Linked DNA regions of Macaca mulatta. The protein of the gene in region 3 purifies or fractionates together with the protein of the main gene of each other region. This does not show direct contact. Links are inferred from orthologs where the notes say so. Each region holds a gene or a part of one and is shown on either strand. Other genes may lie near its edges.

Region 1 (9,202 bases), on a different chromosome or scaffold from region 3:
ATGGAGTCTCACCCTGTCACCCAGGCTGGAGTGCAATGGTGCATCTCAGCTCACTGCAACCTCCACCTCCTGGGTTCGAGCAATTCTCCTGCCTCAGCCTCCTAAGTAGCTGGGATCACAGGCGCCCGCCACCATGCCCGGCTAATTTCGTATTCACCATATTGGTCAGGCCGGTCTTGAGCTCCTGACCTCAGGTGATCCCCCCGTCTCTGCCTCCCAAAGTGCTGGGATTGCAGGCGTGAGTCACCACGCCTGGCCAAGGCTGGGCCCTCTTTGAGGTACAATGTCTGATTATGCTGTGATTCTGTACCCAGCCCCACCCCATTCCTAGACTGGGTCCTGGTACAACAATGAACGCTTGCTGAATGAATGAAGGCCCAAGTGGAAGTCCACCACCCATCTGACCATGAGCTCTGGGCCTTGCATTATATACTTTTATGTTTCCAAATGGATTTTATTTTTGTGAACTAACAGTTTTCTAGGTGTGAGACTTCACTGCCACTCCTAGTCTGGAAGTGTCCTAAGGCAGGGCCAAGGCAAGCACCAGGCTGGGTCCCGGAAGTTCCTGGGTAGAGACCACTATTGGAAAAATGGGGTCTCACAAGAGGGGCTCTCCCACTCTGCCACTAGTTGGCTCTTGAAGTGGGCCTTGTCTCTGAGGTGCTCCCCTAGCCGCCCCTCCCTTTATCCCAGGACTTCTGAGGTTCCCACTTCAGCCTTGGTGGTTTGGAGCTGGTAGAGGAACATCTGTCACCTTCTTTTGGAGCCTGCTCGTAGGTCAGTGGGGCCAGAAATCAGCAGGGCAGAGATGGGGTGCTCATACATGCTGGGTCCCATTGGTGAGTCAGCGCACCTACTTTTGGAACCAAAGCTTCGGACCTACAGCGCACCTACTGAAAGCTTCGGAACCAAACTTGCTGGGGTGTCACGGGGGTGCAGAAAAGAAAGTGTTTCGTTACCTGCTTGGGGGAAGATTAATGCTTTGATGCTGGATAAACATGTTCCTCTCTTCTCTATCCCCCAGGATAGGTTTCTGGGCTGGAAGGGAACTTTTCCGTCTCATCAAGAGAAATACGCTGCAGGCTGGGGGTGGTGGCTCACCCCTGTAATCCCAGCACTTTGGGAGGCTGAGGCAGGTGGATCACTTGAGGCCAGAAGTTCAAGACCAGCCTGGCCAACATGGTGAAACCCCGTCTCTAATAAAAATACAAAAATTAGCTGCTCATGGTTGCCCACACCTGTAATCCCAGCTATTCAGGAGGCTAAGGCAGGAGGATTATTTGAACCTGGGAGGCAGAGTTGGCAGTGAGCCAAGATTGTGCCACTGTACTCCAGCCTGGGCGACAGAGTGAGACTGTCTCAAAATAAAATAAAAAAATAAAAAGAGGTCGGGTGCAGTGACTCACGCTTGTAATCCCAGCACGTTGGGAGGCTGAGGCGGGTGGATCACCTGAGTTCAGGAGTTCGAGACCAGCCTGGCCAACATGGTGAATCCCCATCTCTACTAATAAAAAAATTAGCCGGGCATGGTAGTCCACACCTGTAATTCCAGCTACTCCGGAGGCTGAAGCAGGAGAATCGCTTAAACCCAGGAGAGCTGAGATTGCACCACTGCACTCCAGCCTGGTGACAGAGCGAGATTCCTTCTCAAAAAATAAAAAAAATATTAAATAAATAAATAAATAAATAAATAAAAAGGCTGGGCATGGTGGCTCACACCTGTAATCCCAGCACTAGGTGGGTGGATCACCAGAGGTCAGGTGTTTGAGACCAGCCTGGCCAACATGGTGAGACCCCGTCTCTACTAAAAATACAAAAATTAGCTGAGTGTGGTGGTGCATGCCTGTAATCCCAGCTACTCGGGAGGCTGAGGCAGGAGAATCACTTGAACCTGGGAGGCAGAGCTTATAGTGAGCAGAGATTGAGCTACTGCACTCCAGCCCGCGGGACAGAGTGAGACTCTGTCTCAACAAAAAATAAAAATAAAAAAAGAAATCCATTGCAGCCTTATCTCCGTAACAAGACTAGCAGGCCCTGCTTTCTTTTTTTTTTTCGAGACGGAGTCTTGCACTGTCGCCCAGGCTGGAGTGCAGTGGGGCCATCTCGGCTCACTGCAACCTCCACCCCCCGGTTCAAGTGATTCTCCTGCCTTAGCCTCCTGAATAGCTGGGATTAGGTGTCCACCACCACGCCTGGCTAATTTTTTGTATTTAGAGTAGAGATGGGGTTTCACCATGTTGGCCAGGTTGGTCTCAAACTCCTGACCTCATGATTCACCCGCCTTGGCCTCCCAAAGTGCTGGGATTACAGGATTACAGGCATGAACCACCACGCCCGGCCTCAGGCACTGCTTTCATAGTCCTGGTAACCCAGCAATCAGTCACTAGTGGTCTTGGAAAGTTGGCCCCTTTTTAGAACCAAGACCAGTCTCCCTTAAGCTTCTACCATGCAGGACCTTGTCCAAGTTTTATCACTGCCTTTAGATGCTGAAGTCCAGGAGAAGCTAGGGCATCTTGTCAGGACAGTTTACATTCTTTCCATGCTTCCTGGGCCACCCCTGAGAGGGTCAGACAAGCACAACCAAACCCCTTGGCCCTCTCCAGGGACTCATCAAGAGCAGGAATTTGGGGAGAGCAACGAGGGAAAAAGTCTGGATGACAAAGCTCACTGATCCAAAGCTCAAGCAGAGATAACTGCAGGAGAGGGAAACCTCCCTAAAGAGCCCCTCCAGTCAGCCACAGAACGTATCTCTTGTCACCAGCAGGATTTATTTCAGGGTTCTGCCAGCAAAATGACTTATAAATACATTCTTCCGCATCTCCCCCTTTCCAGGGGTGCTGCTGAGTTGCATGGGATGAGATCTACTTCTGAGATCCTGGGGCTGTATCCCACCCCCAACTCACCAGAGCTCTTCCAGCACACAGCACCACCCCCACCCCCCAGCTGGCTTAGAGTTGGGCAGAGAAGCTTATGAGGCTGTTATCTCTCAACAGACAGCTGTGCAGGGCTGGAGGCAGCAGCTTATCAGGAGGCCTGCAGTGATTCACAGCCCAAGTCCCAGCTTCTCTGCTGAATAGTAATTTCCAGCAGTGGATTTGCGCTCAGTCTCTCTCCTCCCCTTTTCCCAAGGGTGTGCTGTCCTTTCTCAGAGAGAGGGCAGCGAAGGGGAGATCCTACTCACGGAGCTGGGGGCTTTGTGCCAGCCTTCTGGGTAAGGTTCAGTTTATTGTCTGGAGGCTGCAGGTTCAGGGACCTCAGCAGGGTCTGCCACCCTTTGCAGTGACCTCCAGGAGAGTTCATCCATGCTCTCCTTCCACTCCTTCCTTTCCCTCCCAGAAAAGCAATGTGCCACTCCCTTTCCCTTAGTGGTGATGTACAGGGGAGCATGGGCCCCCCATGGGCCACAGCCCCTGAAGCCAGGGCCAGCCCGGGAGGGCAGAGTGGGGGAGGAGAGAGGAAAAAGCCAGGGACTGGGAAGTGCCTTGCACCATTTTGAAGCTGTCCAGTCTCTATGCCTGACCCTGAAGACTCCAAAGGATCAGGACGCAAGGCTGGAGGGGAGGGGAGACACAAAGGGCCAGGCCAGAGCTGTCTCTGCACAGGCGGGTGGTTAGAAAAAAATTTGGGGACAGAGCCATTTTTGTGCTTGTTTTATTGGAAGCAAGACTCCAGTTGCAGGGCTGGGGGAGGAGGCCTGGAGAGTTCAGTCCTGGGTCTCCCTCTGGGCCAGCAGGGGGAAAAGGGGTGTTAAAAGAGCTAGAACCCTCAGAGATGCTCCTCTGAAGCAGGGGAAGGAAAACTAGAAAGGAAAACTGTCCCAGGGCGGGGAGTGGAATAGGACCCCCACATCTCAGACTCTCCTACCCTCAAGCAGTCAAGTCTCACCCCCTGCCTTCTCTGTCAACGGTGGGGGTGATTCCAATAACTCTTCTCGGCTTCCGCACTCCAGGTGCCCTTCGTGAATGCTGGGTGGCTTTAACCCTTGGGGGTCCCAATCAAGTTTCCAGAATCCCACTGTCCACCATTCTCCCCCAAAGAAGGTCCCAGAAAAGGTGAAGGTGAAGTTCCGTGTCTTCAGGCAACACGGGCATAAGCAGCAATCATCGCACGAAGTTTCCCTAAGGTCGTCGGGGATCCTCTCCTGCCACTTCTGGGGCCCCTCTCTTGTCGCCTTAAGGTCCATGCTACCTGCCTTGAGGAGCTGTGTCCAGGTTGTGGGTTCCGGAGGACCGAGGAGTGAAAGGCTGGAGGTGCATTTGAGGGTGGAGGCGCTGGCGGAAGATCCCGCCCACAGTCCGGAGTTTTAGGCCGTCCGATCCTCGTCCGCAGCCCCTGGCTCGGGTTGCGATCGCTTCGCGGAGCCTTCTCCAGCTGCGGGTTCCCCTAGGCTCCTCTTGGACGTTGGCGCGGCTGGCGGGGACGACGGACCAGGATCGGGGTTCGGGGGCTGGTAGCCGGGCTGTCGCGGATCCAGCGCGTCCTTGGAAAGTAGGATGGCGAGGCTGGGCACGTTCTTAAGTACGCTGAGACTAGCGACCGGCTCGCCAGGCGTCTGACCCTGCGTGGGCCCAGGCGGGAGGCTCTGCCACACCTCGCGCACGCTCCGGTAGCGCAGCCGCGTGACCTGGTGCAGGCCCGCCAGGCGGCGCTTGAGGATCTCGGCGCACGTGACGGTTTTGGTGGTGGCCCGGCCGCAGCCGCTGAAGACGATGGCGCGCGTGGCTGGCTGCGCCATGCTGGCGGTGGCGAAGGCCATCAGGTTCCGGATCTTGCTGCCTTCCTTGACCCGCATGTGCACCGCGCCCGGCGCCAGGTCTGCGAAGGGGCCAGAGCCCGGGCCGCCCCCCTCGGCCCCGCCCCCCGCTGGCGCCTCTTCGGAGCGCACCTTACGGAAGTTCTCCATGCGCCGTCGTCGCCGGGACCGCCGGCTTTGCCATGGGGCGGCCTCAACCCCGGGGCTGCATGGCCGCCGGTCTCGCCCTGCAAGGGCCCGCAGGGGTAAGGGCGCGGAAGCAGCTCGGACGCCGGCGGGCGGGTTGGGACGGCGCGATCTCGGCCCCACTTCTCTCGAGCGGGCGCCGCTCTACTCCGCGCTCTCGGCGCCCGGTGCTCCGCGCCTTTAGCTGAGGCCCCGCCCCTGCCGCCAGGCCCCTCCCCTGACCCGGCCCGGCCCGGCCCGGCCCGCCCGGGCCCCAGCCTCACCAGCCTTTCGTGGCAAGTCCGGGTCCTCAGCTACGCGGGCGTGGGAGCGGGCGTGGGAGCGGGCGCGCTGCGGGGCGCATGGGCAGGTGAAGGTGAAGTTCCACGACAATCGCCATCAGCGCTCTCCGAGCCAACCCTCACAAACCGGCAGCCTAAATAAAAGCTGCGCTTGCGGTGCAAACACCAATTCAAACCCGGTATCCTAGCCCTTCCCCGTTGCAGTTGAAGGCCGCCCCTCGTCCCCTCCCAGGGAGAAATTTCCGAGAGGCTTGCTGGGGCCTCGCCCCTCCTCTCCCCGCTGGGGAACACCCCCACCTTTTTTCCGCTCCCAAGTATTCTTGCCTCAAGGACAGCTAGTGCGCGGTCAGCAGAGTGCGGGAGGAGCTGGCTGCGGCTCCACTCCGCGCCTCCCCTCGGGCGACTACGTCGCGGCGTGGTCCTCGCGGGGCGCGGGAGACCCAGGCTTCAGCCTCGCCACGCCTGTCTAGAGCTCGAGGCTCCCGGACCCCCGTCCACCCCTGGGACGTGAGGAGTGAGGCTTTGGGCCAAGCTGTTCCCCGAGGCGCGTGAGGAAGCGGGCGAGACCTCTTCTGAAAAGGCGGTAGGCTCGCTCCACCTATGCCCGAGAGCCCACCCTTAGGGCTGCGCGCTTTAGGGTGAGCCAGGCACGATGCCATGCCAACGTGGCCGCCCCTTTCCTCCCAGGCGAAATTCGATCAGGCAACCTTGGCCCCTTGAGATCCAGTGGGTCTTTTTTCGAACGGAGGCTGGGTGAACGCAGGTTTTAAGAAAGAGAAGGGAGGGGCCGGGCTCGGTGTCTCACACCTGTAATCTCAGCACTTTGAGAGGCCGAGGCGGGCGGATTACTTGAGGTCAGGAGTTCGAGACCAGCCTGGCCAACATGGTGAAAACCCGTCTCCATTAAACATACAAAAATCAGCTGGGTGTGGTGGTGCGCGCCTGTAATCCCAGCTGCTCAGGAAGCTGAGGCAGGAGAAGCGCTTGAACCCGGGAGCTGAAGGCTGCAGTGAGCCGAGATCACGCCACTGCACTTCACCCAGGGTGACAGAGTAAAACTATGTCTCAAAAAAAAAAAAAAATTAATTAATTAAATAAAAAAGAAAGAGAAGGGAGGGAAAGCCCATTCTCCATGATGTGATTATTATGCATTGCATGCCTGTATCAAAACATCTCATGTACCCTCTAAATATAGACACCTATTATGTACCCACAAAAATGAAAAAGAAAGACTTTAAAAAAATAAAAGAGAGAAAGAAGGGAGGAAGATGGGGAGTTGAAGCCCTGGGGGCATTATAGAGCTACTGGATGCCTCTCTTTGGAAACTCCTCGGGACCGAAGGAGAGGCCCGGGGTCTCCTGCCGGGTGAGAGAAGCATTAGAGAAAGATGAGATTGGGGCTGTCAGGACTACTGATGGAAGGGAGGGGGTCTGAGAAGGGGCCCTACCCTCCCTAAAACTGCCCTCGGGCCTCGCCTGTCCTCCTTCCACCGGCCCCACGCAGTCAGGACTGAGGGAGGTCGGCAGATCTGGTCCCAGCCAGGGGACTGTGACGGGGCGTGGCGGGGAGGGACACAGAGAGCTGGGGCTGGCAGGCAACCGGAAAAGTGCTGGGGGCATGACGGTGCCTAGGATTGCTGGGCCTCAGTTGGAGATGAGGCTGCCAGACTATATTCTGTCTCCTCCCGCTGTTCTCACCTCCTGGGCATCAGCAGCAGCTCTCAGTCCCTGCTGTTCAGAACCGGGGTTTACCCCCTTACCACTTCTTGGGAGTGGCTGCGGCGCCTGGACCTTGGCACCCCAGTGTGTGAATGGCTGACCCCGTCTCCTGGTGGAATCAGGAACCCTCGGGGTATGCTCCGAACCAGGACTTCGGTCTCGCTCCAGTCTCCGTGGGCCCCACACAGCGGTGGGGGCTAGAGGCACAGCAGCCTTGGGAAGATACAAAGACTGTCCGCAGCGCGTAGCGGGGCGTGGAGAGCCGAGGGCTGTGTAAGGTCAGGCCCTGAGAAAAAGTCCCCGAAAGGCTGGAAGTAACGTTGGAACGGGCTGGTTGTGGAAGAAGAGAGCTCTCCGTCCCCGGGGCTATGCAAGCTTGGGCAGCAAGATCACTTGGAAGGGATTAGGCGGAGTTCTGTCATTTGGAGGAAGAGTCCTGGGAGCTTCGGGTTTGTGTAGGGCGAGGACAGGGCGGTTCTGCGTCCGGCCAGGTTGGCCCTCTATGACCCCACCGCCCCCACCCTCCTAAACTGCTGTAGAACACTCGCATTCACTGCTCTCCACAGTCGGTGAAGGGAGAACGCCGAAAAGGCCCGCATCCCCTCCTGCCGGTCCCCTCCTCTTCCCCCGCTCCCTCTGCAGCACTTAAAATGTAAATGTACATCGTGATTAGCCGCGGGGTCGCTAATTACAGCTGAAGCCATTCATTACACTGTCAGCGCGCGTCGCAGCCCGCCGGCTGTGCGCTCCCTCCTGGCCGCGGAGGGGTGCGGAGGGTGGGGGCGGGAGATGAGGGGAGTGAGGGCGGAAGGATGGGGTGCTGTGAATTAGGGTAATGTAGCAGGCCCGGAGGAAGCTGGAGTGGGAGAGAGCGGGCAGCGAGCGGGGGAAACAGGGTGGGCGGTGAAGGACTGGGCGGGGTGGCCAGGAGAGAGGAGAAACGCGGGAGGCAGGAAGGAATTGGGGCATGAAGTAGTGAGGACACAGGCAAAGGGGCTGTATGAGGGGGGAAACAGCGTAGGGGACATGGCGAAGGGAGAAAAAGCTGTGAAGAGGGTGGGAACCCCAGTGAGCGGCCAGAGTCAGAGGAGGGGAGCAGAGGGCTCAACTTCAGAAAGGCTGGTAAATAAAGTAGAGCATCAGTGGTGCACACCACACAATGGTTAGAAAAGTGGAATCAGTCAAGATGTTGTGTTAAAGGAGCTGGGTGCCAGCCATACACACAGTAGGGGAGCATTTATTTCCGTGTGTGTTTATAGATGTAAATGTATTTTTAAAATATCTGCAAGAAAACAGCACACTGACCTCTTGTTACCGCATTAAGTTTTCATTACCTTCTTTAAGAAAAGAACTATTAAATATGAATACAAAGTTAAATACAGAGTCTTGTAGCAGCTTGTATAAATGAGCTACTGACCCTGAAGCTTCATTTTCTATTAGCTTCTTTCTGCCTCTGTGTGACCTGGGACAATTTACTTAACCCATTTGCCTTGGCTTTGTCATCTGTAAAATGGGGCTAATTATAGTAATCTACCTCACAGAGTGATTATGAGACAGCCACCTTGGAACCTTGGCTGCTAAGTTCTTGGGGAATGTTAGCTGTTACTATTTTTCATATATTATTTGTGATTAAAATAAATTTTAAAAAAATTTAAAGGGATTGGGGAAAGAAAACTGGTGAAAAGGAAAAGAAATTGGGAAAGCCTCAGAAATAATAGCTGTTTTCACTCACAGTGACCTGGTGAGTGGCAAACTAGACTCCTTTCACCCTGGGAGGAGGTGTTGGTGTAGCTAGACTAGAGCCCAAGCCTAGCCAATACATCTCTGTTAAGGTTCCCTGGGACCTTTCCAGCAGCACACCCTACTTCCTGTGGACAAATCTCTCATGTTCACACTGAAGGGGGATCCCTGGTACAGCCCCTCTCCTCTGTCTCCTGTTGCAGGAGGAGGATGAGGAGCTCTTTTTTTTTTTTTTTTTTTTGGTGATGGAGTCTGGCTCTGTTGCCCAGGCTGGAGTGCAGTGGCAGGATCTCCACTCACTGCAAGCTCCGCCTCCCAGGTTCACCCATTCTCCTGCCACAGCCTCCCGAGTAGCTGGGACTACAGGTGCCCGCCACCACGCCTGGCTAATTTTTGTATTTTTAGTAGAGATGGGGTTTCACTGTGTTAGCCAGGTTGGTCTCGATCTCCTGATGTCGTGATCCGCCTGTCTCGGCCTCCCAAAGTGCTGGGATTACAGGCATGAGCCACCGCGCCCAGCGAGG
Region 2 (10,646 bases), on a different chromosome or scaffold from region 3:
GACGGTTCTGCTGAGGCTTAACTGAATCAGGTGTGAGGTGATAATGGCAGGCTTGACTGATTTACACACCAGAACTAACAGCAGTTCACTCCTTTCCAGGGCTCTGGTAACTTCGTTAACGCCAATGGCAAGCTGCTTCCTGATGTGTGCAGGCGTCCACCCTGACACTTGCTGCTTAGCGTCTGTTTTCTCCTTCAGATCCTCACTAATATCAACAGCATTGCTGCATTTCTCTCTGCTTTCTTTTTTCAGAAAAGGGGTTTTGTTCTTTTTCTTCCTATCTTCAATCTTCTGAAGTCCAATAGCTTTAAGCCTGTCCTCAAGCGTCTGTAGGATGAAGTGCCTATCCTCGCTCTCCAGAGGGCTCCAGCAGATGGTGTATGGGTTGTTCAACGACGTCTTCACAACCAGAGGTCTCGTCTTACGGACAGATCCCCGCCCCGGTGCTTGAGGAGCTGCAGCCATTTTAAAAATCCTTCCAAGAAGCAAAATGACAACAGAAAAAATTCATGTTAGTGACAATTGCATAACTTAAGAGTATCTTGGTTGTACTCTCTCTCTCTTTTTTTTTTTTGGGACAGAATTTCACTTTTGTTGCCCAGGCTGGAGTGCAATGGCACAATCTCGGCTCATTGCAACCTCCACCTCCTGGGTTCAAATGATTCTCCTGCCTCAGCCTCCCGAGTATCTGGGATTATAGGCACCCGCCACCAAGCCCAGCTAATTTTTCTATTTTTTTAGTAGAGACGGGGTTTCACCATGTTGCCCAGCTGGTCTCAAACTCCTGATCTCAGGTGATCCACACGCCTCGGCCTCCCAAAGTGCTGGGATTACAGCCATGAGCCACTGCGCCCAGCCTGTATTCTGATTCTTGATAAGCTAGAGCAAGCCTCATTATATAAGTCCAATTAGGTGAGCATACACTTGTCTTCTTTTTAAAGATTAAGTAATTTTATTTCTCCCCATTTTTCTTACCCCATTTTAAATGCTCCACTGGGGCCCTTTAAAAAAAACTCAGGACAATGGATGACCAGGGTTTAATTTTCCCCATTTTTTTGACTTTTTCTTTATTCCTATACAAGCAATATGTGAAAGTTTTCATTATTGCAATCGTAGTACAATTCCGTTCGTCTATTTCATTTATTAAAAATATGCTGTTTCTACTTGTTCATAATTAACCTTTTAGTGACTGTATGGTATTAATCTTATAACTTGTTACTGTTTTCCAAATGCCGTCTAGTTGGGCTTCCATTCATTCATTCAACAAATACTCTAGGCCTGGCACAGTGGCTCATGCCTTCAGTCTCAGAATTTTGGGAGGCTGCGGTGGACAGGTCACTTCAGCCCATGAGTTCGAGACCACTCTGAGCAACATGGAGAAACCCTCTATAAAAAAAAAAAAATACGTACATTAGCTAAGTGTGAGGCATACCTGTAGTCCCAGCTACTTGGGAGACTGAGGTGGGAGGATCACTCGAGCCCAGGAGGTCAAGGCTGCAGTGAACGTGATCGTGCGGTGCCCAGTAACACATCTGACTCTATCTGCAAAAAAAAAAAAAAAAAAAAAAAAAAGATCTGAGCACCTCCAGTGTGCAAGTGGCGTTCTAGGTCCTGGGGCTCACGGTAAACAATGTCCACCCACGCAGAGCGCACAATCTGCAAGGACTCTGGTGGCCTCTGCCATTCAAAACCAATCAGGTGTGGTATTTTAAAGAACTGAACAGTCATCTCATGATTAAGACTTCAAATAATTCTGTCATGTCCATTTTTGTAAGTCTCCCCACCTCCCAGGGCCCTAAATTTCTTGAATATCCTTCCTACAGCACTTGATATGTATGCAGGCATACACTCCCCTTTCTTTTTTTGTGTTTTGAGACAGTTTCGCTTTCGTTGCCCAGGCTGTAGTACAGTGGCACGATCTCGGCTTATTGCAACCTCTGCCTCTCAGGTTCAATTGATTCTCCTGCCACAGCCTCCAGAGTAGCTGGGATTACAGGCGCCCAACACCATGCCTGGCTACTTTTTGTAATTTTAGTAGAGACGGGATTTCACTATGTTGGTCAGGCTGGTCTCGAACTCCTGACCTCAGGAGATCTACCCACCTCAGCCTCCCAGAGTGCTGGCATTACAGGTGTGAGCCACCACTCCCGGCCATTCCTCCTTTTTAGGGGGGCCCCGAGCCGACTTTTCTGGCTGGCAATTTCATGAAGACTAGGGAAATGTAATGAAATTTAAAGATATTAATCCATTGAGGAAAAATGAGAAGGATGCTTAATGGGGAAAATATTATAAACTACTGGTCCAGAGGGCATATCCTGTTTATCCTTCCCAGAGGCAAATACACATTCCTTTCTCTTCCCTATTTTCTTCCCTTCCTTCCTGGGGCTCAGTTAGAATCACAGGGACCCACCTGGCAAAACTAAAGGAAGTTATGTCCTTTCCATTTATACTTCCATTTACTAGGCTGGTAGCTGATGTTGAAGGCAAGTGTGCCTCAGTAGTGTATCGCTGTATAAAGCACTCTCTCCATGGATTATTTGCTTCTCACAGCATTCCTATAGAATTCCCCAATGTGTGCATTAGGAAACTGACTCACTGCCCGGAGTCACAACTAGTTTTCCAAATTCCAAGTTTTCTGTTCTTTCAATCCTTGCTACACCTCAAAAATAACCTGTGGCTTCTTAAAACAGGCAGATGGTTGGTCCTCAACCCAGATCTACTGAATTGGAATCTTCAGGAATAAGACCTGGGCATCTGTGCTTATAAAAAGCTGCCCTAGGCCGGGTGCAGTGGCTCATGCCAGTAACCAAAGCATTTTGGGAGCCCGAGGCAGGTGGATCACAAGGTCAGGAGTTTGAGACCAGCCTGGCCAGTATGTTGAAATCCCATCTCTACTAAAAAATACAAAAAAATTAGCCAGGCATAGTGGTGCCTGCCAGTAATCCCAGCTACTCGGGAGGTTGAGGCAGAATTTCTTGAACCCAGGAGGCAGAGGTTGCAGTGGGCTGAGATCGCGCCACTGCACTCCAGCCTGGGCGACAGTAAGACTCCATATCAAAATAAATAAGTAAATAAATGCCCCCGTGAATCTGATTCAGAACCGCAATCAGGAACCACTGGTGTAGGACGGGGTGCTTCCATGCTGGACAGCCCCGAGGAAGGGCCCCCTGAGCGCTATTGGTCTCTGATACTCTTCCCAGACACCTTCCCACAGAAAACCCAAATTCAGCTCCTTGGGGTGAGAGATCACACCCTGGTCGTCTCGGTACTGCCCACTGCTGGAGACTTCTGGGGCCTAAGCTGCTTCCTTCACAGTGGCCACACTGCCCCCTGACCCCATTATCTTTGTGCTCCCCAGAGCTCAGGGAATCAGGAAGAAAAGTGGCTCATCCAGATGCAATGCGGTGACTGCGAGGGGCTGGCATCAGGTTCAGAGTGGTCAGGAAGAGGGAAATAAGTGACAGAGGGGTGAAACAAATAGGATGGAACAGAGCTCTTGGCAACTGCAAGTCAGATCATGTCTCCGCATCCAAACACCACAGAGTAAATACTTAAAACCATGCTCCGGAGGGATCACAAAACAGGCTATAAACTTCTCCCGCCTGCAGAATCTGCTAGGGAGATAAAGAGAGCCAAGTAGTTTGGATAAGCATAATCTCATGCAATATAATCCAGAAACAAAATACTGACTGGTAAGATTTTATAGCTTTAGAGAAAGGGAGAAAAATAAGGCTTTGCTGAGGTCCTTTTAGAGCTGTGTCTCAAGAGTCCTCTGCTGCCTATAGATCAAGGGCAAACACTTTTTTCTAGACAGTCTTGCCCTGTCACCTGGCTGTAATGCAGTCGTTTGATCATGGCTCACTGCAGCCTTGAACTCTTGGGTTCAAGCGATCCTCCCACCTCAGCCTCCTGCTAAGTAGCTGGGATTATAGGCGCACACCACCAAGCCCAGAAAAGTTTTTTAATTTTTAAATTTTCTGTATAGGCTGGGCACGGTGGCTCACGCCTGTAATCCCAGCACTTTGAGAGGCCAAGCTGGATGGATCACTTTAGGTCAGGCGTTCGAGACCAGCCTGGCAAATACGGTGAAACCCAGTCTAAACTAAAAATACAAAAATTAGCCAGGTGTGGTGATGCGCAACTGTAATCCCAGCTACTTGGGTGGCTGAGGTATGAGAATCGCTTGAACCCAGGAGGCAGAGGCTGCAGTGAGCCGAAATCGCACCACGGCACTCCAGCCTGGGCAACGGGGTAAGACTCTGTCTCAAAAAAACAAAAACAAAAAAAAAACAAACAAAAAAAACAACTCCGTAGAGACAGGGTCTTGCTTTGTTGCCCAGGCTGGTTTTCAACTCGTAGGCTCAGGCAATCCCCCAGCCTCGGCCTCCCAAAGTGCTGGGCTGCAGGCATGAGCTATCATGCCCCACCCAAACTCTAATGTGACATAAAAGGCCCTCCAACCTCCAGTCTCAATCTCCCACCAGCCTCTTTCTCCTTAGGCCCCACCAAGCACAAGACCTCAACACCGAACCACATACTATTTAATGAGGCCAGCATTTTCCCACCTTCAAGTCTATATACATTAGTCCCTCTGCCTGGAATACCACTCCCACCCTCAGCCACAGGCACCACCTTTCTGGATTATCCAGGATGTGCCAGGCCATAAGTATTTTTTTTGTCGCAGACCTCAGTGAGGTTACAGTCCACAAGGAAAAAATATCAGCAGGTAATTATACAATAAAGCCTGATGCACATGAAGGTCAGGGAACTACAGGATGCTTAGGGAATATCCAGCAGAGGCCTAGCTTAGTTGAGGGGGTAGGAAAAGGCAGTCCTCATAGAGGAACTGCTTTTTTTTTCCCCCCCTTTTGAGACGGAGTCTCATTCTGTCGCCAGGCTGAAGTGCAGTGGCACAATATCGGCTTACTGCATCCTCCGCCTGCCTCCCGGGTTCAAGCGATTCTCCTGCCTCAGCCTCCCGAGTAGCTGGGACTACAGTACAGGCGCGCGTCACCATGTCCGGCTAATTTTCTTATTTTTTTTTTAGTGGAGATGGGGTTTCATCATGTTGGCTAGGATGGTCTCGATCTCCTGACCTTGTGATCCAACCACCTCGGCCTCCCAAAGTGCTGGGACTACAGGCGTGAGCACTTAGTCTGGGACTAAGAGGAGCCCGGCCGGACCTCTCAACCTACATCTAAACAATGCCAACCAAAGGGAGTATGGAGTAAAGAAAGGTATCTCAGCATTAAAAGAAAGAAGTTGGCTGGCAAGGTGGCTCACGCCTGTAATCCCAGCACTTTGGGAGGCCCAGGCGGGCGGATCACTTAAGGCCAGGAGATCGAGACCAGCCTGACCAACATGGTAACCCGTCTCTACTAAAAATACGAAAAACAGCCGGGCGTTGTGGCGCGCGCCTGTAGTCCCAGCTACTCGGGAGGCTGAGGCAGAAGAATCGCTTGAACCCGGCAGGAGGAGGTTGCAGTGGGCCAGGATCGCGCCACTGCACTCCAGCCTGGGCGACTGCTATGTCTCAAAAAAAAAAAAAAAAAAAAAAAAAAAAAGCAAGCAAGTTCCAATAAGTTCAATGTGGCTGGGAAAGAGATGCTAGAGAAAGCAGTGAGAAACTAGGAAAGGTGGGTAAGGACCAGATAATGAAGACCTTTGCAAGCCTTCCAGTGTGAAGCAACTTTAACGTCTAAAGCAGAGGCGTCATGATTAGAAAGACGTTATAGATCTTTGTGGATCTGGGCAAAGGAAGAATCCTTGAGCAGCAAACACGCCCCCGGAGTCGTCCAGGTTAGAAATGGCGGTGGCCTACACTAGAGACACCGCAGAAAGGACTGGAGAGAAATACATGTTAGTCGGAAAAGAAGGTAGAATCTCCCGACACAGTAGTGACCAGCTGGGAGTAAAGGTGAGAAGGGTATCGGTGGTGACTTCCGGTTTCTGGATCCCGCCGGTAGCCGAGGGGCGACGGCCGACCCAAAGCTCACCTCCCCACTGCACGCCGCCCCTGGATCGGTCCGTGTCTCCTTGGAGACCGTGGAGAACAGAACGGCCGGCGTGCGGTTTTCGCTTTGCACTCCTGGTGCCCAGACGGCGCTGCAATCCAGCAGAGGAGCCCGAGGAGAGGCGCGGAAGCTCTGGGTGCACACGACTGGCCCGGGACTGGGTAGCCCAACCGAGAGGGCGGCGAGTTCCGCGGCCACGCAAGAGGCGTCGGGGAAGCAGCGGAGGCCTTGCGTGCGCGCGGGCTTCGGCCTCCAGATTCCGTGGAGTCCCGGGCCCGATCCCCCCGGGGCTGGCCTCCTGCCCTACGTGGGCCCCGCGCGCGCCCACCTGGAACTCACGGTGGCGGATCCGCCTTTACCTGAGGGTTGCAGCACCGGCTCCAAGTGCGCCTGCGCCGCGCATGCGCAGAGCGCTCGCCTCCCGGCTTCGCCTCCCAGACGCGACGGGGCGGAGCGGAAGCGCTAGGAGCACTGCAGGTTTCGTTATCCTGTGTTAGGTCACTCCGGAAAGGGGAAAGCAGCCCACAGCGTCGCGCGGCCCGGAAACAACACAACGAGGCCCCATCTTTTAGATTCGAGTTTAGGCCCCGGGGTGGAGGCTCCGGACTGGGCCCCCTACAACGGCAGTGCGCAGGCGCGAGGTCTGTATCGCGAGACCATAAAGTTGCCCGGGTAACCAGACGCTCAGGGCTTGGACCTTCTAGTTGTTCGGAGGCCAGCCTACCGCCAGTGGTATCCCGAGGGCAGGCTCTCTCCGGGCGTCTGTGCTCCCCTCTCTCTTATAACCCAGTTTCTACCTTTCAGTGCCTGGGAGTCTTAGCCCTCTATCTCTATTCCCTTTTCTGTATTTGCTTTGCCTCAGGGACGCACAACCCCAGCCCCTGTCCCAGTGAACCCGTCGCCATGGAATCCCTGCAGACTCCCCAGCACCACGAAAATCAAGATAAAAGGGAGAAGGAGTGTGGGGTAAAACACATGCCTATGGGCAATAATGCAAGGAATCTTGAGCTCCGAAAAGAGAAAGGCGATAGGAGTTGCCTTGAGTTCAGCAACAGCTGCGCGGAATATCCTGTCCGGTGTACACTGTGGCTGCTCCAAGCAATGGAGACTAAAGTTACCATCGGAGTCGCTGCAACGTCAGGGACAAGTGATGAAGCAGCCTAATAACATTTTAAAACTCAGGATTCTGGATCCGTTGATCTACCCTTGGCCAGAACTTAGAAGACGGCAGGTTGCTTCTGACCTAATGAGCCACCTCCTCCTCCCCGGTTTTTCCGGCCTCACTTGGGCCCCCTTCCTTTTCCTCTTCTATATATCTGCCTCCTTTTCTCACTCTCTTCACTGTTCGTTTTGTTTCCTATTTTCTGGTATAGTTTCTGTGCTTTATTATTATTATTTTTTTGAGACAGTTTCGCCCTCGTGTCCCAGGCTGGAGTGCAATAGCGTGATTCTGGCTCACTCCAACCACCGCCTCACGGGTTCAAGCGATTCTCCTGCCTCAGCCTCCTGAGTAGCTGGGATTACAGGCACAGGCCACCAGCCCAGCTAATTTTTGTATTTTTAGTAGAGACAGTGTTTCACCATGTTAGTCAGGCTGGTCTCGAAATCCTGACCTCAGGTGATCCGCCTGCCTCGGCCTTCCAAAGTGCTGGGATTACAGGCTTGAACCACGGTGCCCAGCCTCTATGATTTCAATTTTCATGTTTAAGTACCTGTGTAGAACCTAACTGTCCATAAAGCAAACACACAAAGAAGATTTGGCTTTCGGTCAGAGATCATTGGAGGTGACACAGGGTAAAGTGCAATGTGATTTTTATCGGAATTAGTAAGATTAAAAAGAGATGACAGTGAGTTTGTAAGAACAGGTTTGTGTTTCATCAAATGAATTGTGTGAATTCGCTATGATGAACTGCAAGCAGCTTGCATGTCCAAAAACAAATAGAGACACACGGGTCTAATTAAAATGCTAAAGTAATAGGAAGGAGACATCCATACGTTTTTGTCCCCCTAAGGTTCCAGATTTATAGTTTGAGCATCATCTCAGCTTACATTTTCTCTATGGAAAACATCAGCCATTACATTACTTGGCTCTGGGTTGAAATCCTAACTTCAACTGAAGATCTTATGACCTAGTCAAGTTTATTAACCTCCTCTATGAAGTGATAAAAATAGTATCTCTTGTGAGGATTAGAAGAGATGATCCTCTATGCTAAGATGATTATTATGTGCGGAACACATAGTTAAGTGCTTGATAAATTGAACTGTGGTGAATCCAGTCTCAACCATGGCAAAACTAAGTTAATAAAAATGAAACATAACCTCTATTATTTTAGTGCTTGTGTTTTATTTTAAAACTAGCAGTTTAATTTCTACAAGGATTTTGCTAAAATTAACAAGTACATTTTGAAAGTAATTTCTCTCCCTCTTGTATCACACAGACATTACAACCAAAAAGTAACAAACATGCTCCCATGACCCAATCACACCCATTTTTTCTTTAGTGTTCCCTTCTACTTTGTTTCACATATGTGCGTGCTTTTACATTAAAATAATACAGATTCAATCTTCTGATTTTCTTCACACATAACACTTTTTCATGTTTCTCAAATTATTACTTTACATATTTGATATCCTATTCTGAAGAATCAGTTTTGTTTTGTTTATTTTTGAGACAGGATCTTGCTCTGTTGCCCAGGCTAAATGGTACCATCTCAGCTCACTGCAACCTCCTCCCAAGCACAAGTGATCCTCCCACCTCAGCCTCCCGAGTAGCTGGGACTACAGGAGCATGCCACCAAGCCTGGCTAATTTTTGTACTTTTTGTAGAGATGGGGTCTCACCATGTTGCCCAGGCTGGTCTTAGACTCCTGGGCTCAAGTAATGCTCCCACCTCGGCCTCCCAGAGTGCTGGTATTACAGATACGCACCACCACAACTGGCCAGTTTTACTTTTTAATGACAGTAATGACAGTCCTGTAAAATCTGTTTGGTCTTTGAATATTAGAGCTTTCTTTTTATATTCTAGAATTGGACTACTGTTTGATTTGTATGCTTTCCATTGTTTGACAATGACTTAAGATTCTGAGTGATGGCCGGCTGTGGTGGCTCACACCTGTAATCCCAGCATTTTGGGAGGCTGAGGCAGGAGGATTGCTTGAGCCCAGGAGTTCAAGACCAGCCTAGGCAACATGACAAAACCCCGTATCTAAAAAAAAAAAAAAAAAAAAAAAAAAAGGCATGGTGTGTGCCTGTAGTCCCAGCTACTCCTGGGGCTGAGGCTGGAGGATTGCTTGAGCGTAGAAAGTGGAGGCTACCGTGAGCTATGATCACATCATTGCACTCCAGCCTGGGCAACATGGTGAGACCCTGTCTCCAAAACAAATAAATACATAAAAAGCTTCTGAGTAATAAATTATATAATTAGCCACCATCTTTTGATGAAATAAGTGAAGGTCCCAACAAGAAAATTTGTCAACAGAAGAATGTAAGGGAATTGACCACCAGATTCTTCTATTCTTCTTTTCCTCCATGGTATTCTGACCTTAGTGCGCGCTCTCTCTCTCTCTCTCTCTCTCTCTCTCTCTCTCTCTCTCTCTCTCTCTCTCTCTCTGTGTGTGTGTGTGTGTGTGTGTGTGTGTGTGGTATCATGTATAACAATAGTTGTTAGGTAAACAATTCGTTATTTTACATCAGTTACTAAGCATGAATTTTAATGATGAGCTGCAAAATGAGTATTGAAAGCTCTATTAATTGGGACTGTATAGTACTCCAAGGAATATCTATGTCCACAGAGACAAGGTGAAGGTGAGGAGTTTCAAGCAGTTAAGCAATTCTCAGGCCTCACAAAACAGCAAAATCAAGACCAACATGATGTCAGCTCCCTGCATCTCTAATCCCATGGGACAGCATTGCCAGTCTCAGAGGTCGGATGACAGGTGTTATGAGTGGTAGGTCACTCTGTCAAGGAACAAACTGTAAACTTCAGCAAGCAGTTCCAGACTTACACAGAAACCTGTGGCTCTGTCCTAAAGTGAAGCAACTTGTAGGGGGTGCAGAGAAAGGAGAAGATGGAAAGCCCTAGTCTCAACTAAACTAGAGACATAGATGAGAAACACCCCTGTCAGACTCTTCTATAAGATAGGTAAGCCCTGTGGGCAAGGTCATCCTTGAGCTGAACCGGAAGCTCCCTGGCATGGCCTTCTGTGTCCCTACTGCCAGCGTGTCAGTCATGGACCTGACCTGCCATCTGGAAAAATCTGCCAAATAGGATGACATCAGGAAGGTGGTGAAGCAGGCTTTGGAGGGCCCCTCAAGGGCATCCGGGGCTACACCGAGCACCAGGTCATCTCCTCCAACTTCAACAGCGACACCCACTCTTTCACCTTCGATGCTGGAGCTGGCATTGCCCTCGATGACCACTTTGTCAAACACATTTCCTGATAGGACGATGAGTTTGGCTACAGTAACAGGGTGGTAGAGCTCATATGGCCTCCAAGGAGTAAGACCCCTGGACCACCAGACCCAGTGAGAGCACGAGAGGAAGAGAGAGGCCCTCACTGCTGGAGAGTCCGTGTGCCACTCAGGCCCCACCACACGGAGAATCTCCCCTCCTCGCAGTTTCCATGCAGACCG
Region 3 (9,997 bases):
CTAGAACCAGCTGATCAAGCAAACTTTTCCAAAGCATCTAAGAATATTCATTATCACTTCAGGTTCTTCATGTACCCTCCCTTTTAAAAGCTCTCTAGCTGGGAATGGTGGCTCACACCTGTAATCCCAGCACTTTGGGAGGCCGAGGCAGAAGGATTGCTTGACTTCAGGAGTCAAATTAAATCACGTTTTTCAAGATAGACTTTTAATTTTCCTTGAGCTGATTCATATTAAAACAAAAGCCTTAGAGAGGATTTAATAATCACCTCATTCCAAAAAAGGATTTGAGGTAGCAAGAGAAACTAAGTAGAGTTTATAGCTTTAAGGTGATTATAACAGTCAACATTTAATGGTGTAGTAAATGCTGCAACTTTTACGTTGCACCAGACCACATCGATATTAAAAAAGAAAAGAAAAGAAAGAGGCAATGACTCACTGAGTGAAGTCTTAGGCTTCATAATTAACTAACTTACCTATGTATCTTCAAACTCCTCTCTCATCCAATCCACCTTTTATGTGAAGTTCTGACAGAGTAATTTATTGCCCCCTCAATAAGCTATCTAACTACATTTTTAAAAAATTCTGGGTCGGGCGTGGTGGCTCATGCCTGTAATCCCAGCACTTTGGGAGGCTGAACTGGGTGGATCACCTGAGGTCAGGAGTTTGAGATCAGCCTGGCTAACTTGGTGAATCCCCATCTCTACGAAAAATACAAAAAAAAATTAGCCAGGCGTTGTGGTGGACGCCTGTAATCCCAGCTACTCGGGAGGCTGAGGCAGGAGAATCGCTTGAACCTGAGACGCAGAGGTAGAAGTGATCACGCCATTGCACTCCAGCCTGGGTGACAAGAGCAAGACTCCATCTCAAAAAAAAAAATTCTGAAGTCGTTACAACACAAACCTGTACTTTACCTCCAAAGATTGCCATGGTAATTTTAATTATTCCTCCAACTGATCATGTTTAAATGACAGTAAATACAATGAGACACTATCAAAATTTCCGCCAATCTCAGATCAGAACAAAATTTTAGCCAGCCCCTTACCCACCTCCTATGCCACCCCAGCCAAACAACTTTCTCAGGCCATTCTACTTAGTCTAAAGCAAAACATCTTATATTTCAGCACCTGGGATGGCCTTGCCAGGATTCGAACCTGGATCATCTGTATGGTCAGACAGAGGCTTCCACTGAGCACAAGACCAGCTTCGGGTGCAGATCCCTTCCTCACAATTAAAATTCTGAAACACCAGACATTTTCAGAGAACGTAGTTTGCAGAGAGACAGGTTTTACTAGATACTAAAAAAAGAGAACTCGGAAAATAAAATGAACATAAGTATCAGGCTACATGTTTTACAGCTAAAAGACACTTCCACATGTACCATTTCCTCAGATCATAATCAGTTTGTAAAGTGGGCAGGTAAGGAGACTGCCCTAATTTTTTACAGATGAAGTTACTGGAGATGTGTCAGAGACAGAACTCTTCTAATAAGACTGGCCTGCTCAAAATCGTAAGGAAAACCTGGGGTGTTTTTAGAACTTTACCTTGGCATTTTTCTGGATTGGGCAAAGCTTTGGACTTCTTTTGGGGCAAATTTATTCGAGGATCCCCAACTGTCAGTCCCAGAATAGTACCTGCCGGAATTTCTGCTGGTGATGTTATTCCTTTAACAACAACAAAAAGAACAAAAACAACCAAAAGAAGCTTACAGAAGGTCATTCATAATACATCTATATTTGTTTGTATTTTTAAATCTTTCAGATTTTCCAATGAAACATTTTTCTTGGACTAATTACTTAAAAGCATGTATTCCCTCTCTTCCCATTGATACTTTTAGAGAATAAGTTAACATTCATAAAGAATGAGGTTTCTCACAAAAAAACATGAAGCCAACATAAAAAAAAGGTTCTTTTATGAAATGAACACATATGCTTCTATCAGTGATAACTATAGCAGCTATGAGCAAAAACACAGTTGTGTGCAGGTAAGTACAGAGTTTAGGTCAGTACCTGGCGTATGCATTTATCTCCACTATCAGAATGCCAGTTACTTAGAATATGAACATCTCATTTGTTTGTTGTTTCATGACCAGGCATGAATATAGTGTTTATTCACTGAGTTCAGTCCCTCTCTTACTTGGTCCTCTTGCTGTGTCACAATAGCAGCAGGTTAAAAAGCAATACTACACGTTGGAGGCCCAACTGCAAAAGGCTCTTTTAGCCCCCTTCCCTCCCCAACACAACCCGGTCTTCCCTTTGTATACCTCCCAACAACTCGAAAATGGCTTCTTGTCTGCAATGAAGGGAAACGCTGTCAGGATTCTTACAGGTTTCTATCCACCAGCGGTGAGGTGTCTCCTCTGTGTCCTCTCCCACCTGAAAAACAACAACCGCTATTCACCGGGCGAACAATGAATCCACCCTCATAATTTTGTCATGGTTGTGATATCAGCCCCCACTCTTTCTTCTTCTGTGTGTGGAAATGAATGTGTTATGGGGTGAACCAGGGAAGCTGCCACTATACTTAACATAGTAGTTGATACCAGACTACTCTTTCAGTTAGCAGCAAGGATATAGTATTACACTTCTCTCAAGATTTCACATGAGGAAAATCATCTATGGCTTTCATAGACTAACTCACTAAGATACTTCACACCCAGTCTCTCCAGAGCACAGTACCAACAAAGGAGGCCTCGCTCCTCTCTTACCTTTTTTTATTTTTTTGACACAGTCTCACTCTGTCACCCAGTCTGGAGTGCAGTGGCCCGACCACGGTTCACTGCAGCCTCAATCTCCCAGGCTCAAGTGATCCTCCCACTTCAGCCTCTCAAGTGGCTGGGAGCTGGAACTACAGTCACACGCCACCATGTCCAGCTAATTTTTTAAACTTATTTTTTGTAGATACATTGTCTCACTATGGTGCCCAGGCTGGTCTTGAATTTCTGGGCTCAAGCAATCAACCCACCTCAGCCTTCCAATGAGCTGGGATTTCAGGTGTGAGCCACCGCGCCTGGTCCTCTTCCACTAGAGCTAACTTCATCATCTCCAATGTAAGCAATAAAATGTTCCTCACCGAAGGAAAATCAAACCAGTACCTCTTGAAGAACTCTCCAGATAAAGGATATACTACTACTACAGTATTCCTAGAAATGTTTATCTTTTCCACATGGAACTAGGAATTGAGGAAGATTTCAAAAAGCTCTTCAAGTATCATGTGCATGGCAAGAAGGGAATCTATAGCCACAACTCATGCTGAAGTTCATTGAAGTAGGATGTGCACTTACAGATCCTAAAGAAGCAATCATGGCCGGGTGCAGTGGCTCACGCCTGTAATGACAGCATTTTGGGTGGCCGAGGCAGGCGGATCACTTGAGGCCAGGAGTTGGAGACCAGCCTGGCCAATATGGCGAAACCTCTACTAAAAATACACAAAAAATTAGCCAGGTGTGTTGGCTGGCGCCTGTAATCCCAGCTACTCAGGAGGCTGAGGTATGAGAACTGCTTGAACCTAAGAGGTGGAGGTTGTAGTGAGCTGAGATTGTGCCACTGCACGCCAGCCTGGGTGACACAGCGAGACTCTGTCTCACAAAAAAAAAAAAAAAAGCAAAAGCAAAGGTACCATTTACTCACAGAAACTCAGGTAGCACAGCTTAGTGGTTTATAGTACAGGCTCTGGAACCAAACTTCGTAGGTTCAAATCTTTGCTCCACAACTTATTAGCTACTACGGGGCACCCTCTCTGTGCCAGGCATTGTGCTAAGCACTGGGGAGGGAGTAAAAAACAGGACCAACCCTATCCTCACCCTTATGAAGCTCACAGTCTCGTGAGAGACACAGACATTACATAAATACACAAATCCATACATACAAATTGAGGAAATTTGCAAGATGCTCTGAAAACAACAGGAGGGATGTAGTTTAACTTGGGGGATCAGGAAAGGATACTAGAGGGAAATGTTAGAGACTGAAACCTGAAGAATGAGGATGGTTCAGCCAAGCAAAGAGTGGTGGAGGCAGAATGCTCAGTAGTTGGAAGAAAAAAACAGGTGCAAAAGCTCTAAGGGAGACAAGAACTGACATTCTAGAACCTGAAAGAAGGTCAGGGTGGCTGAAGTGTAGAAGGTGAGAAGAAATGAGGCCTCAGAGGCAAGAAGGCACAAGATTACGTGGGTCACATTGAGCACTTTGGATTTTATCTTAATTATAATGAGAAGCTATTCAAAAACTTTTTATCAGGAAGCAACAAGAGGTGAATAAATTATCAAAAAATCACTCTGCCTCCTGTGTGGAGAATGGGCTGAAAAAGAGGAGGAATGGAGGAAACTTAAGGTTCCCTCTAGAATCCTTTCCTGATCCCCTAAGTGTTCAGGTAAGAGACAACACTGGTTGAGAGTAGAGCAGAGGCAGTGAAGATGGAGAAAAGTAGCTTTTGTATTTTAAAAACTTCTAAAAACTCAGAATCTATTCAGCTCTATCATCATATTTGACCATGTCAAGTCAGTGAGAGGCACAGGCATTGAAAAGTTAATTGCACTAAGACCAGAAAACAAACTGGACCTGAACCTAGGGTACGGATTCCTAATCTAGTCTCTATGCTAGCCACTTGCCAATAGAGCTACTCAGACTTAATTTTTAGTTAATTAAAGTTAAGTAAAGGTATAAATTCAGTCCCTCAGTCACTCCAGCCACAATTCAAGTATTCAGCTGCCACATGTGGCTAACGGCTATCGTACTGGACAGCACAAAGGAACATCATCCTCACAGAAAGCTCTACTGGAAGTTCTGCCCTAGACATAGTGCTCTTAACCTTTTTAGGGATTCTAGAGTCCTAAAACTAGCCCCAGAAAACCAGCCGGGTGTGGTGGCTCACATCTGTAATCCCAGCATTTTGGGAGGCCACAGTGGGTGGATCACCTGAGGTTAGGAGTTCAAGACCAGCCTGGTCAACATGGTGAAACACTGTCTCTACTAAAAATACAAAAATTAGCTGGGCCTGGTGGTGCGCACCTATAGTCTCAGCTACTCGGGAGGCTGAGGCAAGAAAAGCGCTTGAACCCGGGAGGCAGAGGGTGCAGTGAGCTAAGATTGCACCATTGCACTCCAGCCTGGGCGACGGAACGTGACTCCATCTTGGGGAAAAAAAAAAAAAAAGAAAGAAAACCTACGTGGCACAAGCACAAATGCACAAAATCTGGCACACAATTTCAGGGATTTTAGAGACTCCCTACCTATGAAGCCGAAGTTAAGACCCTCTACAAGGCTCATAGCTACCAGAGCAGTCTATATTTAAATAAGAACAGTCAGTTTACTGATCATATCCACTTAGTTGTGGTCTTCTAGGAGAAGTGAAAGATAACAAAATCTTTGATAATAAGTAGGGAAATAAACATCTAAAAGCCATGGCCCAAAATGTTACCAAATTATATATTAGGTTTCACAAATTTGACAGGAAAAACATAATTAGAATAAAACACTACCATCACTTTTACTCTTACAGTGTGGACAGAAGCAGCTTTTATTGCTTCAGTTAGGATGGAGTGGGAAAGTGGCCCAATCAGCCGGAATCTGTTCATCTCCATCGTCAAATCGCTGAAAAAGAAAGAAGATCTTAAAATGGAAACTTCCATCACACAACATCTGTGCCACTGACAAAAACAGAGCAAGTTTTCACTGAAAATATTCAGTAGGTTCAAAGTAAATTCAACTCATACCTGATTACAATGCCTGTGGTTGGAGAGATCCAAGCGTATGGTAGACATGGATCTCTAGTTCCATCGCCGATAATTTTTTTAATTGGTTTAGCATTTTCTCCATCATCTTTCCTTTTTCTTTTCTTGCCAATTTTCTCATCAGGCAATTCAGTTTGGCTTTTTTCTTGGGATTGTGTCAGAAGTGGGTCAGTGATGCAGACAGTTGATTTGACAGGTTCCACGCACTGGCACGCTGCTTTTATTTCCTCTAAGATATCCTAAAAATATATTTAAATATTCACTTTAAAATCCTGAAATTTAAATATATTATGACAAATTTAGTTGGGTTATGTTTTGTTTTTTTTTTTTATCGCTTTAAAAATTAACATTTTTGGCCGGGCATGGTGGCTCATACCTGTAATCCCAGCACTTTGGGAGGCCGAGGTGGGTAGATCGCCCGAGGTCAGGAGTTTGAGACCAGCCTGACCAACATGGCAAAACTCCACCTCTACTAAAAAGTACAAAAACTAGTTGGGTGTGGTGGCAGGCACCTGTAATCTCTGCTACTCAGGAGGCTGAGGAAGGAGAATCGCTTGAGCCTGGGAGGCAGAGGTTGCAGTGAGCTGAGATCATGCCATCGCAATCCAGCCTGAGCAACAGAGCGAGACTCCATCTCAAAAAAAAAATTCACATTTTTATCCCTTCACAGATTAACTTAAATTAATCACCAGAAAGCTTTTTTGGACCAGGTGTGGTGGCTCACGTCTGTAATCCCAGCACTTTGGGAAGCTGAGGCGGGAGGATGGCTTCCGCCCAGGAGTTTGAGACCACCCTGGACAACATAGGGAGACCTTGTTTCTACACAAAATAAAAAAATATTTAGGTGGACACAGTGGCATACCCCTGTAGTCTAAGCTACTCAGGAGGCTGAGGTAGGAGGATCACTTGAGCCCAGGAAGTAGAGGCTGCAGTGGGCTATGACTGCACCACTGCACTCAAGTCTCAGTGACAGAGCAAAACCCTGTCTCAAAAAATATATATATATTTTAACCTAATTTTAATTTTTTAAAAAAGCGTTTTGGGGTGTTCTGAGTAGTGCATGTCACTTTAAACAAAAAAAAAATGAAATTTAAAATTTAAAATGGGTTAGGGCTGGGGTTAGGGGTAGGGTTAGTCAAATATTATGAAAACAACATGATCACTCTGACTAAATTTTTTTTAAGTAGTGAGTATGCTAAAGAAGGGAAGCTAAGCTGAATTCAGTGTGAAAAATCATCAGAAGTACTCAGAAATAGCTTTTCATTATCAAATAGGCTCCAATTAGCACCTAGATACTAGTGAACCACTTCAGTCATGGTAGAAACATTAGTTCCAATTCAACATTTCAAATAATTAGCATAAGGCTGGTTTTTATCTCTACTTCTACTTATGACTTACTAAAAATATGAGAGGTCAGGATTAGTTTCATTTTTTTTTTTTTTTCAAGACAGGGTCTCACTGTCACCCAGGCTGGAGCGCAATAGCACGATTTCACCTCACTGCAACTCTGCCTCCTGGGCTCAAAGTGATCCTCCTGCCTCAGCCTCCCAAGTAGCTGAGACTACAGGCGCATGCCACCAATCCCAGCTAATTTTTGTCTTTTTTGCAGAGACGGGGTTTCACCATGTTACCCAACCTACTCTCAAACTCTTGGATTCAAGCGATCCAATTGCTTCAGCCTCCCAAAGTGGGGGGATTACAGGCATGAGAAACCATGCCCCACCCTCACTTCATTCTACTTGAAGAACAAGTTCTGGGGATCTAACGTACAGCATGGGTGGTGATGGATGTGTTATTTGATTGTGGTACACAACATGTACATCAAATCATCATATTATATACTGCGAATATATTTGCTTTTTGTCAACTAGACATTTTTAAACACAAATTTTATAAGTTTTTTAAAAATTCACTTCATTCAATATTCACAGAGCCTCCCATATACAAATATCAGACTATCAGACAAATCTTTACACTATGTACATTTCTACAGTATTGACTTCCAGCTGTAATTAAAAATGCAGTTTCAGAATAATAGGAGCTAACCTGAAAGATTATACCTGTTTAAGGGTTGGATGCAGCCAGATCCACAGCTGCCTGCTCTCAGAAGTGTCACCAGGGGTCCTCTGGGACTTCCAGATAAACGTAACAGGCCCAAGCATTTCTCTGGGATATTTATTCACCCGATAAAGCACAAGGCTCCCTTGGCGCTTTCCAGACAAGCAGTGAACTGCTGCAAACGTCAGTCCTGACATCAACAAAAGCAAAATTCCATAATTCCAGGTATTGAGACTGCAGTCCTATTTCCTGATAGCCACACTGTCATTCACTGTCTGCCTCCATGAGAGGTGAAGTTTTGGTTGTGAGGATTGCTCAGATCAAAGCCTGGCACACAGTAAGTTCTCAACAAATATGTGTTAAATGAATAATGAGAGCTTCAAGTTTCTTTCTGTCAAGTTCACCCCACCAGAAAAATGACTCTATCACATTGTCAAGTGTAAAACTTGACAATGTTAGAAATGATTTAAAAGCCAACCCAACTGTTCTTAAATTAATATTTTCATCAGGAATGATTAGTGTCTCACACATTTTTCTATATGTTTGAATTCCAAAATGCTTACAGTAGACACTTCTTTATGAAAGGAATAAATATATAAAGACTAAAATAGAACTCAGCTTTAAAACAAGTTTACCTGTGTCTATGCTACACATTCCAGAAAGTGCCTTTAGTATTTCTTCCTCTTTGCCTTTCAACTCCAAACAACAGTAGTAGGATAAATCCTGCACAAAGCGGGAGACACAAGTACTTAGGAATTTACACAGGCAAAACTGCTAAGAAGCCAAAAGCCACATCACAAAACCTTTAGAGGCTTAAGACACAAAACAAATTGCTAAAGCTATGTTCTCATATGTCAAAATCTAAACCTTCTCCTGCCCGATGGTTTAGGGGAAAAAATACCTAAACCCGTCCATTCCTGTTACCTTAGCAAATATTTTTAAACCAATCCGAACCAAAATAAAAATGAATCTCCATTTAAAAATGTAAGTTACAGTATCCTACCTTTTAGATAATCTACGTTTTATCCCATATTCATAGACAGGTTCTATGGAAGGTATATAACTGTTGCTTCTAAGTAAAGAACCGTTCACCCCCAAAATCTACCTAAGATAAGAAACCAGAGTAAAATAAGGAAAACAGTAATGAATTCTGAAAAATTATGCTCAGGTTGCTCAATTTGGTTAGGTAATTCAGGACCTCAAGATTACTTAACACTAAGCCTAGAGATACAATATTGCAATTAATCCATCCCATATTTCTCCCATGCTCAATCTTAACCATGATATGCAACTTTAAGCACAGTACAAAGAAAGTAAAAGTAATAACATAGAATTTTAAGTAAGATGAAGAGAGATCAAACTAAGCTAATGAAATCAATGTTAAAAGTTTCAATAGTTATAGTATCCATAATCATAATAACAGTTCTAATAGTTTGTTTTGTTTTGTTTTTGAGACGGGGTCTTACTCTGTTGCCAATGCTAGAGTACAGAGGTGCAATCACAGCTACAGAAATCTCAACTTCCTAGGCTCAAGCAATCCTCCTGCCTCAGCCTCCCAAGTAGCTGGGACTACAGGTATGAGCCACCACACCCAGCTTTTTTTTTTTTTTTTTTTTTTCAGAGACAGAGTCTCACTATGTTGCCCAGACTGGTCTTGAACCCCAGGACTCAAGCAATCCTCCTGCCTCAGCCTCCCAAAGTGCTGTGATTCTAAGCATGAGCTGCCATGCCTGGCCTGTAATAGTTAATAGTCATTGAAGGGTTACTGAGTACCAGCAATGAGTTAACTCTTTACATGAACTGTCATTTAGTCTTCCTCACAACCAGATGTACCAAGTATGGTTATCTTATCTGATAGACAAGGACACTGTGACACAGAGATTGTTACTTGAACAAAGACACAGAGTCATTAAGTGGAGAAGCCAGCATTCTAATCAGGCTCGGTGACCTGCCAAACCAACCCTTCTGCTATGGCACCTGTAAGCAGTTTCAGTGCACTCAGCAACTAGAACTAAAAGGCAAATTATAGCTATGATTCTGACAACACACATTAATCAATATGATCACTCACACAAAGAAATCTTCCTATCCAGTGACCAGCTCTCAGCTGTCAGTGGCCAGAGGAACCTCACCCAAATGTGTGCAAACAAGTGACAGCAGAGAATAATGGTTGAGAGTGTGGAACCCTGGAGTCAGGCAACTGGGCTCAAATCT

Evidence for each region. Proteins that work in one complex are often made in the same cells at the same time.
Region 1: the proteins of POP1 (region 3) and RPP25 purify together in Homo sapiens (affinity purification with mass spectrometry; 3 studies listed by BioGRID and IntAct, counting the BioPlex papers as one, with this or other methods). This does not show direct contact. The link is inferred for Macaca mulatta from reciprocal best matches to the Homo sapiens genes POP1 and RPP25.
Region 2: the proteins of POP1 (region 3) and RPP38 purify together in Homo sapiens (affinity purification with mass spectrometry; 3 studies listed by BioGRID and IntAct, with this or other methods). This does not show direct contact. The link is inferred for Macaca mulatta from reciprocal best matches to the Homo sapiens genes POP1 and RPP38.

The regions. Positions count from the first base shown.
Region 1 is NC_133412.1:52,904,240-52,913,441, forward strand, and holds RPP25 (ribonuclease P protein subunit p25), read right to left. Parts: upstream 4,974-9,202; 5' UTR 4,904-4,973; coding exon 4,304-4,903; 3' UTR 4,109-4,303; downstream 1-4,108. UniProt on the Homo sapiens protein: Component of ribonuclease P, a ribonucleoprotein complex that generates mature tRNA molecules by cleaving their 5'-ends. Also a component of the MRP ribonuclease complex, which cleaves pre-rRNA sequences.
Region 2 is NC_133414.1:16,668,806-16,679,451, reverse strand, and holds the start of RPP38 (ribonuclease P protein subunit p38), read right to left. Parts: upstream 6,409-10,646; 5' UTR 6,343-6,408; exon of another isoform or gene 5,997-6,342; intron 1,543-5,996; exon of another isoform or gene 1,433-1,542; intron 1,179-1,432; exon of another isoform or gene 476-1,178; 5' UTR 466-475; coding exon 1-465. UniProt on the Homo sapiens protein: Component of ribonuclease P, a ribonucleoprotein complex that generates mature tRNA molecules by cleaving their 5'-ends. Also a component of the MRP ribonuclease complex, which cleaves pre-rRNA sequences.
Region 3 is NC_133413.1:108,509,877-108,519,873, reverse strand, and holds part of POP1 (ribonucleases P/MRP protein subunit POP1), read right to left. Parts: intron 8,507-9,997; coding exon 8,419-8,506; intron 7,974-8,418; coding exon 7,786-7,973; intron 5,965-7,785; coding exon 5,708-5,964; intron 5,586-5,707; coding exon 5,492-5,585; intron 2,373-5,491; coding exon 2,261-2,372; intron 1,662-2,260; coding exon 1,542-1,661; intron 1-1,541. UniProt on the Homo sapiens protein: Component of ribonuclease P, a ribonucleoprotein complex that generates mature tRNA molecules by cleaving their 5'-ends. Also a component of the MRP ribonuclease complex, which cleaves pre-rRNA sequences.